Linked DNA regions of Oryctolagus cuniculus. The protein of the gene in region 2 interacts with the protein of the main gene of each other region in a pairwise test. Links are inferred from orthologs where the notes say so. Each region holds a gene or a part of one and is shown on either strand. Other genes may lie near its edges.

Region 1 (5,420 bases), on a different chromosome or scaffold from region 2:
GGCCCAAGGACTTGGGCCATCTTCTTCTATTTTCCCAGGCCATAGCAGAGAGAGCTGCATTGGAAGTGGAGCAGCCTGGACTTGAACTGGTGCCCATATGGGATCTGGCACTGCAGGCTTGGCTTTACCCTCTTCACCACAGTGCCACCCCCTCCCCACAAATTTCTTCAATTTGTTATTTTTGAATTGCAATTTAATTGGTAGAAGGCCTTTAACCTCTCATTTTTGTGAAGAATTATTTCCTTGAAGTGCTTCGGAGAAATGTAATCAAGGTGGAACTGATGTAACAAAAGTTTATGGGCCTTCATTATTTTAAAGATATTTTATTCTTGAAACAGAAAGGGAGATTTTATGATTCTATAAATCAAGGGATCTCTGGTAACTCAGTGGGGTTGTCTGTTCTAGCATAGAGAGGGACATAAAGCAATGCAATAGGTACTATAGGTATTTCTTCATCTTTAGGTCTGACTTCTGGCTTACTCTAATTTGGTTTTATTTTAGGCTTGGCCTTTGCTTCGGGTTTAGCAGCCACTGTGACTATTACTCATCTTTTAAAAGCAGGAGACCAAATTATTTGTATGGATGATGTGTATGGAGGTAAGTGACTCCTCTCATTTATATTGTGTCAACTACTATTTTAAATATAACAAAATGGACGCTAAATTATACTAACAATATTGCTGGCATTATTGATTACTGATTATTTGTTGTTATTATTTATTTTTGACTTTTTTCATTTTATTTGAAAGACATAGAGACAGAGAGACAGAGAGATTGAGATTTTCCATTTGCTGGTTCACTTTCCAAATGCCTATAACAGCCAGGACTGTGCCAGGCTGAAGCCAGAAGCTGGGTGGCAGGGATCCAAATACTTGAAGCATCATGTACTGTCTCCCAGGGTGCACATTATCGGGAAACTGAATCAGAAGTGGACAAGCCAAGACTCAAACCAGGCACTCTGATATGGTATGCAGGCGTCCCAAGCGGTCTTAACCACTGAACCAATGCTCACCCCTATTTATTATCTTTTAAAGGTGTGTTGGACACCTCTGTGATGGCTCAGACTTAGCAGATGAGGAGCATCAACACTTAGAGTCCATGCTCTGGAACTGCTTATGGGAAACGCTGCTTAATAAGAATGGTATTAATGCTACTGGAATGAATACACAGGACTTGATCGACTTTCAGATGTATTCTGCCCTAGAGAAGATAGTGTTTAAATAGTGTTCTAAAGCCAACTTAAAATTTTACTGTAAGGAAGATAAATTATAACCTGGATTCTTTTCCTTTGCCCCTTCTTTATTTTTCTTTTGGTTTCAGAGAACCTTTTTAAAATCTTTGAAAGCTGTGAGCCCCTTCCCCAAAAAGTGTTCTTGAAATTACCATGAGTATTCAGCATTTCAACTTTAGGTGTCTCCCTTAGAACCCTCCCATGGATCCAAATTTAAGAATTTGCATACCATGTTAGCTACATAAAGAGGGGAAAGGGAATGGGGGAGAAGACAGGCTTACCTCAACCTTTAAACAAGACTGATTTTTGTGTTCAAAACAATAGCAAAGGGTTTTGTAAATGTATATATAAATTCTAAATGCTTCCAAATAATTAGAAGGTGACTTAACAGAGTATTATCACTTTATCTATCTCCTATCTCAACAAAATACTCTGTATATTCTTTAAAGGAAGGGACTTAATAAGCATTTTGTTCCACAGACATTTGTACAATGTGTTGTATTTTATCTTACATCCTTGTAAAATTGAAATTACAGAGCTCTCCAACCATTAGTCACTTTTATAATGCAATGGAAAATCCTCATGGCAAGCAGAGGAAATTGTTGATTTTTTAAAAAAAAAATTATTTGAGAGAGAGAGAACAACAGATGGACAGGTAGAGAGAACTCCCATTCCCTCGCTCATTCCCCAGATGCCCACAATGCTAGGGCTGGGCCAGGCTGAAGCCAGGAACTGGGAATCCAATCCAGGCCTTCCACATAGTTGGCAGGGACCTGACTAGTTGAGCCATCATCACATGTTGCTTTCTAGGGAAGCTGGATCAAGAGTCAGAGTCAGGACTTGAACCCAGACACTCCAATATGGGATGTGGGCATCTTAACCCCTAGGCCAAGTGCTTGCCCCAGTTGTTGATGTTTTGATAGTTCTTTATATTCTTTTTCTTTCTTTCTTTTTCTTTTTCTTTTTGGACAGGCAGAGTTAGACAGTGAGAGAGAGAGAGAAAGAGAGAAAAGTCTTCTTTCTGTTTTTTCACCCCCCAAATGGCTGCTACTCCCGGCACACTGCGCTGATCCGAAGCCATGAGCCAGGTGCTTCCTCCTGGTCTCCCATGCGGGTGCAGGGCCAAGCACTTGGGCCATCCTCCACTGCCTTCCCCGGCCACAACAGAGAGCTGGACTGGAAGAGGAGCAGCTGGGACAGAATCCAGCGCCCTAATTGGGACTAGAACCCCAGGGTGCCCGCACTGCAGGCGGAGGATTACCCAAGTGAGCCGCGGCGCCGGCCTATATTCTTTTTCAATCTTTCATTGCCGAGGGTCAATCTATGTAAAATCAAAAGTCCAATTTATCTTTGATCACAGTTTCTTTCTTTCTTTCTTTCTTTCTTTCTTTCTTTCTTTCTTTCTTTCTTTCTTTCTTTGCTTACTATTAGAAATAGTTGCCTGGCCTTTTAATTTGTATATGTAAAAATCAAATCCTGAAGAGTTTATAAAAAAATTATTCAAAGTTGAAATGATTTATCTTTTTCCACTATAAAAATGTAGTAGTTTGATTTACATTGTTTCATATATTAAAGCTTCAGAACTACACAACAACAATGCTGAGAAAGTACAAAGACTAGTAACCAATTCTTTTCCATTACCAAAGTATCAGCAACAATTGTTATTTTAGATTTGAGTACCAGGAAGTAATTGTTAAAAAAACCTAATGTTTCTGGAGCCGGTGCTTTGGCTCTGGCATCTCAAATGGGCGCGTGTTTGAGTCCTGGCTGCTCCACTTCCAGCCCAGCTTTCTGCTATGGCCTGGGAAAGCAGTAGAAGATGGCCCAAGTGCTTGGGCCCCTGCACACATGTGGGAGACCCAGGGGAGACTACTGGTTCTTGGCTTTGGATCGGCCCAGCTCCAGCCATTTCGGCTATTTGGGAACTGAACCAGCAGATAAAAGACCCCTCTCTCTCTGCCTCTGCCTCTCTGTAACTCTGTCTTTCAAATAAATAAATAAATCTTTAAAAAAAAATAAATCTGATATTTCAGGGAGTATACTGCTTACTGTTTGAAGAGTAGAAATTGAGTATTTTGAGAAGTATGATTAGAAGCCACTGAAAACATCAACAAGATTAAAATAGGTCTGGCATCTCTCAAATATTGCATGCTAGTTAGGTCCATGAATTGTGGAGTGAATTCTAATAGTTGGTATATTATCTCAGCCAAATTATTAACCAAAGTCTGTTTTTTCATTTACAAAATAGGGATAATTGTACCTGCTTTAGAGAAGTAGTTGTGAGAACTGTGTGAGAAATATACCCAAGTATTTTCTGCTTTATGCCACTTGTGTATATTAAGTGAGCTTTAGTTGGCTCTTAAACCTTTAAAGTCAAGCATCATTATTTTTTATATATTGGCTAGCCAAATTATTTAACCCAACTAGAAATGCTTTCAATTGCATTTTTATTGATGAATTGGAGTTTCTTTTATTTTTAAAGTGCTTATACTTATAAGGAATGGCCATTTCTTAATATAATGTTCTCTTTATTTTATCTGATTCTCTTGCTGCAGGTACAAACAGATACTTCAGGCAGGTGGCAGTTGAATTTGGATTGAAGATTTCTTTTGTTGATTGTTCCAAAACCAAATTGCTAGAGGCAGCAATTACACCAGAAACCAAGGTAACTCAGTGTTTTGGTTTTGTCTGTTTTCCCTGTGATGTGTTTTCATTATTTCTGTTTACTAGAGAATAAAATTTAGATATACATAATGAATTTTGTTAGAAGCCATAAAAAACACCTAACAAGATTCAGATAAGTCTGATCTCTTTAAATATTATAACATGATTAGGAACATGAATTCTGTAGTGAATTCAGATTTTAACTATGTATGATAGATGGTATATATTCTCTTGGACAAAGTATTTAAAGTCTCAATTTCTTCATTTGCAAAATAGGATTAATTGTATCCACCTTACTGAAAAATAGTTGTGAGAACTAAGTGTAATGCCTGTGAAATGCTTAATATAGTAACTGGATCTATGGTAATTGTTAACAACAATTGGATACAGGACCATTCAATTCTTAACTTTCTTACCAAACTCCTATTGGTAACAGAAATCATCGTTGAGATTGGATTATAGAAAAAGAAGTTTGCTGAGCCCCAAACCTTAGGCACAGTGGCTTTTTCAGGGCTCCAGGAATATCTTCACAAATAATGGAAGTAGAGAAAGGATCGCAGCAATTTTAGCCTTCGTCCTGGGAATCTTGTGTGCTGCCGGAAGGTGTTTTGTGCCTGAGTGAATGGCAGATGTGATATTCTTTATTGGGATCTCATTTAAATTCAGCAGGGGTAAGAGAAAGACCAGTGTCTTTTATAAATCAGCCATTTCCAACTTCTTGCTCAGGATTGAAAGGTTAGAATTGTACCCAAGATTAGGTTGCAGGGAGTGCTAAAAATTTTAAATTTTTTCTCATACAAGTTACTTTGCAGATTAATATAGGGATGAGCTTTGGTAGTTAAGGTTTGTTGTCAAAGGAACTTGTTTTTCTTGCTTGGGAGAAAAGATACTTATTAAAACAGCTGGTCTGCATTATGCTTAATGAATAAGCCAGTCCCAAAAAGACAAATATCATGTTGTCTCTGATTTGTGGTAACTAATATACAGAACATATAATAAATGTAATGTGTATCAGTGAAATCGACATTTTCAGATATGATTATTGTTTATAACCCTCTTCGGTACTCCTGAGGAACAGTGGTTTTTCTGCTTACCACTTGTTGACTTCTTTATTTAGTGGAGGGTAAAGCTTGTGATTATAAATTGAAAGTATGTCATTATAAAAATTAAAAAAAAAATAAGAAAAGAAGGAGGAGGGAGGGTGGAAGCCACAGAGGGAGGGCAGGTAGGGTGAGAAGTATCATTATACTCTTACAACTGTATATATGAAATACATGAAATTTATATTTTATTTTATAAAAATAAAAATTTTTAAAAAACAATAAATGCAAAAGTAAATGAGCACAAAATAAAGTAAAATGAAATAAAGTAGCTAGTCTTAGTCTTCCTAAGGAAGGAAAGCAAATTATGTGTATGTTAAACTTTGTAAACAGGCTTTTGTATATTGACTTTTTACCAACTTGAGTTAATAAATCCTGCACTTTGTCTGTCCTGAATTATCAGGCTCATCATTTGAATGAAAACT
Region 2 (6,668 bases):
CCCAGGTGCATTAGTAGGGAGCTGGATCAGAAGCGGAGCAGCCAGGAAAGGAACCAGCAAGCATAAGGGATGCCCGTTTCCCAGGCGGCAGCTTAACCCACTACGCCACACTGCCAGCACCCAGCAAGGCTCCCTTTAAACCAGGCTGGTCTGGAGTTGGTATTATGCAAAATAGAACAATTAACAGGGAGAGTCAGGAGGGGTGGAGGTTTGAAAGTGTCCCACAGAAGCTCACGTGCTGAAAACTTAATCCCCACCATCAAATGGGAATGATACTTGGGAGGTAATCAGGATTCAGTGAGGTCACGAGGGCGGGACTCCGTGATGACATTGTGGCTTAAGACGGCGGCTCAGCTAGCACAGCTGGCTCTGGCTCACCCGCTGATACTCTCCTGTGTGATGCAGCAGGGAAGCCCTCGCCAGACACACAGTGGACTGCCCAGAACAGTGAGCTAAATATATCTATCTACATGCTGATTCACTCCCCCAGATGGCTGCAATGGCCAGGGCTGGGCGAGGCTGAAGCTAGGAGCCAGGTGCCTCTCCTGGGCCAGGCCAAAGTCAGGAGCTTCATCTGGGCCTTCCACATGGGTGGCAGGGACCCATGCACTTGGGCCATCTTCCCCTGCTTTCCCAGGCGCATTAGCAGGGAGCTAGATTAGAAGTGGAGCAGCTGGGACTCAAACTGGAGCTCAATGTGGGATGCTGGTATTGCAGGTGGTGGCTTTACCTGCCATGCCACAACACCGGCCCCTACTTGCTTGCTTTATAAACAGCCCAGTCTCAGACACTCAGTGATAGCCATAGAGAATGGACTAGGACAGGTTAGGATACCAAAGTTTCAATATAGGTTAACAGCTTCCTACCCTTTTTAACCAGATATGTAAGGGCAAGAAGTTCATGGGGGAAAAAAATGGAATGAAAAGCTAAGCTTGCTTTGGTACAAAATACTTTGAAAAAATGCATAGTTTTTCATGACCTCTTTGAAGACTCCTTGTATGCATGGATTTCAAATGTTTTGTACCAAGATAAACTTACCTTTCACTTCATTTTTCTATGGACTTTTTAAGAAAAAGATTTATTGGGGCTGGCATTGTGGTCACCACTTTGGGTGACAGTTCACATCCCAGCTACGCCACTTCCAATCCGGTTCCCTACTGATGTGCCTGGAAAGGCAGCAGAAGATGGCCCAAGTGCTTTGACCCCTGCACCCACATGGGAGATCCAGAAGAAGCTCCTGGCTTCGGCCTGGCCCAGCCCTGGCTATTGTGGCCATTTGGAGAATGAAACAGCAGATGGTAGCTCTTTCTATGCCAACCCCTGTCTCTGTCATACTGCCTTAAAAGAAAATGTATATATTTGAAAGGGAGAGTGAGAGAGAGAGAGAGCTTCCATCCAGTGGTTCACTCCCTAAATGGCTTCAGTGACCCAGGCTGGGCCAGACTGAAGCCAGGAGCCAGGAGCTTCCTCCAGGTCTCCCATGTGGGTGGCAGGGAACCAAGCACTTGGGCCACCTTCCGCCGCTCTCCCAGGAGTATCAGCAGCCCATATTGGATGACCCAGTGGTTGAAGACCTTCCTGTCTCTCTTCTGTCTCTAAATCTGCCTCTCAAATAAATATATAAAACTTAAACGACTAGACTGAGCTCCCAGGACCATCTGCCTGCAGCCCATCCATCCCATCCAGGCTTTGCACAAGCAGCAAGGCCTGAACAGGAAGCACAAGGGCCTGGACGTGACAAAGGCAGATTACAAACTGGCTATGGCAACGAAAGGGACCCCAGTTCCCATGTGGTCGCGCTGGGGACTTGGGAAGGAGACGGGGATTCTGCAGGCCATTTTGTGCAGTGAGAATATTTATTGAGAATGGCTCATTACAAACAAAATATATTTATGTATAAAATCTCTGCAATGCAAAAGATCCCTTTCGTCCCCCTGTGGCTAGAAAGCCGCTGTCCTGTGTAGCTTTGGAGGTCGTGCTGGGACCCCCGGGTGGATCAGTGGTGGGTGCTGTGTGCCGTGGGCCAAAGCCCCTGCCGTCCAGGCTGTTTCTCCAGCCCATTTTCATGACGCGGTGTTGGGGACTCAGCCCAGGGAGATGAGTCTTGTGGACGGCCAGGCATCTCCTAGCGTGCACTGAGAAGCCATCCTCCAGGCTCAGGGCTGACATGCTAAGTGCCTGTGACCAGTGTCCGTGGAGGCCGCTCCCTGGGACAGCCCCACCAGCTCTCTGCCCTATGCCTCGTTCGCACCTGGCTGGCCTGAGTTTCGTGTCCTCCTGTTGGTTCTCTTCATTCAGCTCTGCTTGCCATTCGACCCAGACCTCTCCTGAGGACGCCCACGCCCCACAGCAGATGTGTGTGGGACTCTCAGGCTCGTAGCCAGAGATCCCTGGCACCCTGGGCCACCTGGTGTATTAAGGCAACAAAAATGAGACCAGTCTGAAGCCAACGTGAGTCTCAGAAACACAGGGTGGCTGCCCAGCCAGCAAAGGCTGTTGCCAAGGAGTTAATAGGGCTGGGGGGTGGGGGGTGGGGGGGCTCACAGCCCTGGCAGGCAGAGCCTCTCACTGCCCGAGAACCACCGTGATGGCCAGCGGGCAGCCGTGACCACATCATGCCTCCAGCACCGAAAGACCAAGACCCGGGGTGCAGACAGATACTTCCTCCTCCCAAAGGTGAGACCTCCTCTCTTTGAAAACAGACCTGGACTGGCTGACCCCGTCCCGTGAGAGAGGTGCTAGGGGCTCCAAAGTACCTGCAATCTCACTATTATTATCTTACGTGAAAGCGATTTCTCACCCTCTGAAAGCAAAAACTTATATCTAAAAAAAAAAAACAACAATACACACACACACACAAACCCCAAACCAAAAGAAAAAAAAAAAAAGGAAGGAAACAGCTCCAGTTGTGGTACTTGCTGCGCTGTGTGATGACAGACCCAGCACTCCATGCAGAGTCCTGGCATCAGTGGCAATGGCAGCGGGGAAGCCAAGGGCTGCCCCTGCTGCTGCCGCAGGAGTGCAGGCCTAGCACCCTGCACCCAGAAGATGGGTCCTGCCGCCGGCATCCTGGCTGGTGTCAGGAGGCCCCCTGAGCCCTAAGCACACTCTGTGTCGCCGGCCATCGGGCCCCCGCCAAGAGGACCCTCTACTGGATAGGGCTGGACTCCTTAGAGGGCTGCAGGAGGCCTCCAAGCCCCCAGGCACCGGGGCTCTGCAGGGTGGGGTGGCTGTGAGATGTGTCTACACTGTGGCAGAGGCTAGGCGACCTGGCAACCAGCCACGGTGATCGGGCCTAGAAGGGGGTGGGATGAGGCGGTGATGGCACGCACCGTAGGGCACGTGGGGTCTGCAGCACCTCCGGGCGCCTGGAGCCAGAGGCTGGCTGTGCTCCCCAACCCCAGAGGTGCTGTCCTGATAATCAGCACCAGCCACATGGTCTCTCTCTCCAGGGCTTGGTCCCAAGGTCTGTGGGGAGTGGGAGTCCGATTCAGGCCTCTTCCCCTTGCCTGGGGTCCCACTCAAAGTCAACAAGGATGCTCTTGGGGCTGGACTTCCGTTGGGCACCGCTGGAGTCAGGCTTGGAGTTCCGGGGTGTGGCTCACCTTGGAAGCAGGTGCTTCGGGTAGTGGCATGACAACACACAATGCTGGCAGATGAGGCAGCTGTGCTGGTCTCCCAGAGTTCCCTGGGGCTTTGTCAGCTCCTGAGTGGGCCTTGCTGGGGGCAGAGGGGGCGGGATCCAAGAGCCTGGGCACACCAGGCTCCTGCTGTCAGCTGTCCAGATAGACAAAGAGGATGTCCTCATCTGTGCCGTAGCTGGTTCTGGCCTCTTCAAAATTACTGATGCTGGTGCTGCACATTCCTGCGGCGTGGGGGTTTGTGGGGAGGGTAGAGAGGGCTCAATGGGTAGGGACACAGCACCTGCCCCACCAGCACCCAAGGGAGCCAGGCAAGACCCGACCACAGCCCACTTGGCTGGCCACTCCTCTTGGCTCAAGTCCTGCACCCCCAAGAAGCTATCCTTGCCTATTCCAGCTCTTTCTCTGGCCCCTCCCCAGGTTAGTAGATGGACAAGTAAGGCCCGGGGTGGGGGGGGGGCAATGTGCTCCATGCAACATGGACACACGGGTGGGTCTGTGGGAATCAGGGAGGGCCTTCCCCAAGCCCTGAGGGCAGTGGGCAGGCCCAGGTGGAGCAGGGGCCATGTCTGGCCAGACTGTCTGTCTGTGGCATGTGCTGCTGGCTGTCCTGAGAGGAATCGGGGTTGGGCGCTTAGGTGGCGAGGCAGGGCCCTGGGCGGTAGCACGGGGTTGGTGGGAGGGCGGGGTGGCCCTGAGGAGCAGGGGTTTTGGGATGAGGTGAAGGGGTGGGAGGGGAGGGAGTCCTGGGGGCCCAGCACTCACGGTCGGCGTAGGCTGGGTTGTTGTAGAAGATGCAGCTGGTGGCCCGGCTGTAGCCGCGCAGCACGATGAAGTGGCCCTGGTAGTCGGGGGTGCGGCAGAAGCAGCGGTGGCCGCTGGGGGCGAAGCAGCAGTACTTGACGGGGCTGGAGCACAGGTCGCAGTGCAGCACCCCCGAGTTCACCAGCACGATGGCCACGTGGCCCTGGGCCAGGTGTGCCTGGATATCCTGAATGCTCACAGCACTGGGGGCGCGAGGGAGGGAGGGAGGGGTCAGGTTTATCCCTGCTTCTGTCTCTGTTCCCCTGGGCCCCCAGTTCCTCTGCCCTCTGCCCTGAGCTCCTTGCAGGTGGAAGAGCCCTTGTGTAGTCACTGCGCAGGCTCAGTGTGGGGTGGGAGGGGACAGTTCCCAGCGTGCACCAGACGAGCTGGCACCATCAGTAGAGACAAGCAGGAAATGGGCCACTAGAGCAACACTTGGAACCTCACTCCCAGCCTGGGTAATGAATTCTTTCTGCCAAGCCCGTTTGTTCTTTATCCTCCATCAAGTGTGGTTTATGCTGGAAGCCGCGGGCCCAGTTCAGTTCCCCAAATCCGAGCCAAGCTGGGCTGAGCCAGTTTGTTAACCAAACGCTTCTGTGAAAGGGCTCTTTCTCCTTTCTAAGGTTTCTTGTGGCAGGAGGAGCAGCTCCAGGGGAAATACACACACACCCCACCCAGTTCTGCAGACACAGCTGTCTGGAGCCGCCCCGAGGGGCACACCCCAGGCACCTCTCCAAATAAGCACCTAGAGGGACCCAACAGTAGGGCTGCTCTGCTCTTTACGTGGGCTCCTTCATCAGTCTCCTGAGGAGTGGCAGCGCCGGCACCACAGGGCCTGGCCTGACTCCAGCCACGGCCGAGTCACACAGCAATCTGGTTTGCAGCCTGGGCCGGGGAAACACGCCACGCCATGTTTCCATTTGGTTTTGTTTTGTGTTTTTTTTTTTTTTTTTTTTTTTGACAGGCAGAGTGGACAGTGAGAGAGAGAGACAGAGAGAAAGGTCTTCCTTTGCCGTTGGTTCACCCTCCAATGGCCGCTGCGGCCGGCGTGCTGTGGCCAGTGCACCACGCTGATCTGATGGCAGGAGCCAGGTACTTATCCTGGTCTCCCATGGGGTGCAGGGCCCAAGCACTTGGGCCATCCTCCACTGCACTCCCTGGCCACAGCAGAGAGCTGGCCTGGAAGAGGGGCAACCAGGACAGAATCCGGCACCCCAACTGGGACTAGAACCCGGTGTGCTGGCGCTGCAAGGCGGAGGATTAGCCTAGTGAGCCACAGTGCCGGCCCTCCATTTGGTCTTTGCAACACAAGAGCCTGGCCCAGTTCTCGACCATGTGTACGAGAGGGGAGTGCAGCTTCAGGGAAAACGCAGGGTCAGGCTGGGCAGACACGGTATAGCTTCACAGAACAAGCGTGGCTCAATGCCAGGGAGGCCGTGGGCCGTAGCAGGCCAGCAAAATCATTTGGTCTGGCCTTGCCAAGGCAACCACAGCTGGGACTCAGAATTCAATAGCTCTACAGCAGGCTAGTTTTTAGGCTGGTAATTTTGTATGACCCGCGGACGATGCTGTACCTATCCAAAAGGCCCTTGACAGGAAGAAAGCTTCCCCACCCCTGGTCTCAGAACTGAGTGGAGATTTTTTTTCCCTGCTTTCCAAATCACCTATCTTGCAGGTCATTATTTTGTTAATAATGAAAGTGCGAATCAGTAAAGAAAGGAGGAATTCCCAAGAGTGACCCCGGGAGCTGATCTGGGACCAGACGCAGCCGGCCTGAGCACGGCCACCACCCACCATGAGCTCAGAGAAGACCCCACTCACATCTGGGCCAGTTGCTGCCATGGTCCCTCTGAATCCAGCCCCCTGGGTGTATATGGATGAGAAGGGGGAGGAGCCTGTGAGGCCACAACAGCCCAGGGAGAGACTGGCTGCAGCCTGTCCTCGCAGCATCTGCTCAGGATCCACCCCAGGCCAGGGCCTGGGCCATGGAGCCCCACTGATCCCCGTTTCATGGATGGGAAAGCCAAGGTTCACGGACCACGTGGAGAGCAGAGTCCGAGCCTTTCCCAAACGCCATCCTAAGTCCCCTGCCCCCAACCCCAAGGCTGTTGGTGAGCAGGAAGTGAGGGAGGGCAGAATGTGGGGGGCAGGGAGGGCTCACCATTTCTCCACGAGCACCTTGCAGGCTTTCGCCTGTGCAAACAGCTGGTTCACCCGGGTCTC

The links.
Region 1: the proteins of GUCD1 (region 2) and CTH interact in binary tests that used the Homo sapiens proteins (3 or more experiments, as listed by UniProt). The two-hybrid records come from large-scale screens. The link is inferred for Oryctolagus cuniculus from reciprocal best matches to the Homo sapiens genes GUCD1 and CTH.

What each region holds. Positions count from the first base shown.
Region 1 is NC_091438.1:101,935,672-101,941,091, reverse strand, and holds part of CTH (cystathionine gamma-lyase), read left to right. Parts: intron 1-501; coding exon 502-597; intron 598-3,786; coding exon 3,787-3,896; intron 3,897-5,420. UniProt on the Homo sapiens protein: Catalyzes the last step in the trans-sulfuration pathway from L-methionine to L-cysteine in a pyridoxal-5'-phosphate (PLP)-dependent manner, which consists on cleaving the L,L-cystathionine molecule into L-cysteine, ammonia and 2-oxobutanoate.
Region 2 is NC_091452.1:31,123,311-31,129,978, reverse strand, and holds the end of GUCD1 (protein GUCD1), read right to left. Parts: coding exon 6,607-6,668; intron 4,649-6,606; coding exon 4,407-4,648; intron 3,866-4,406; coding exon 3,774-3,865; 3' UTR 1,838-3,773; downstream 1-1,837.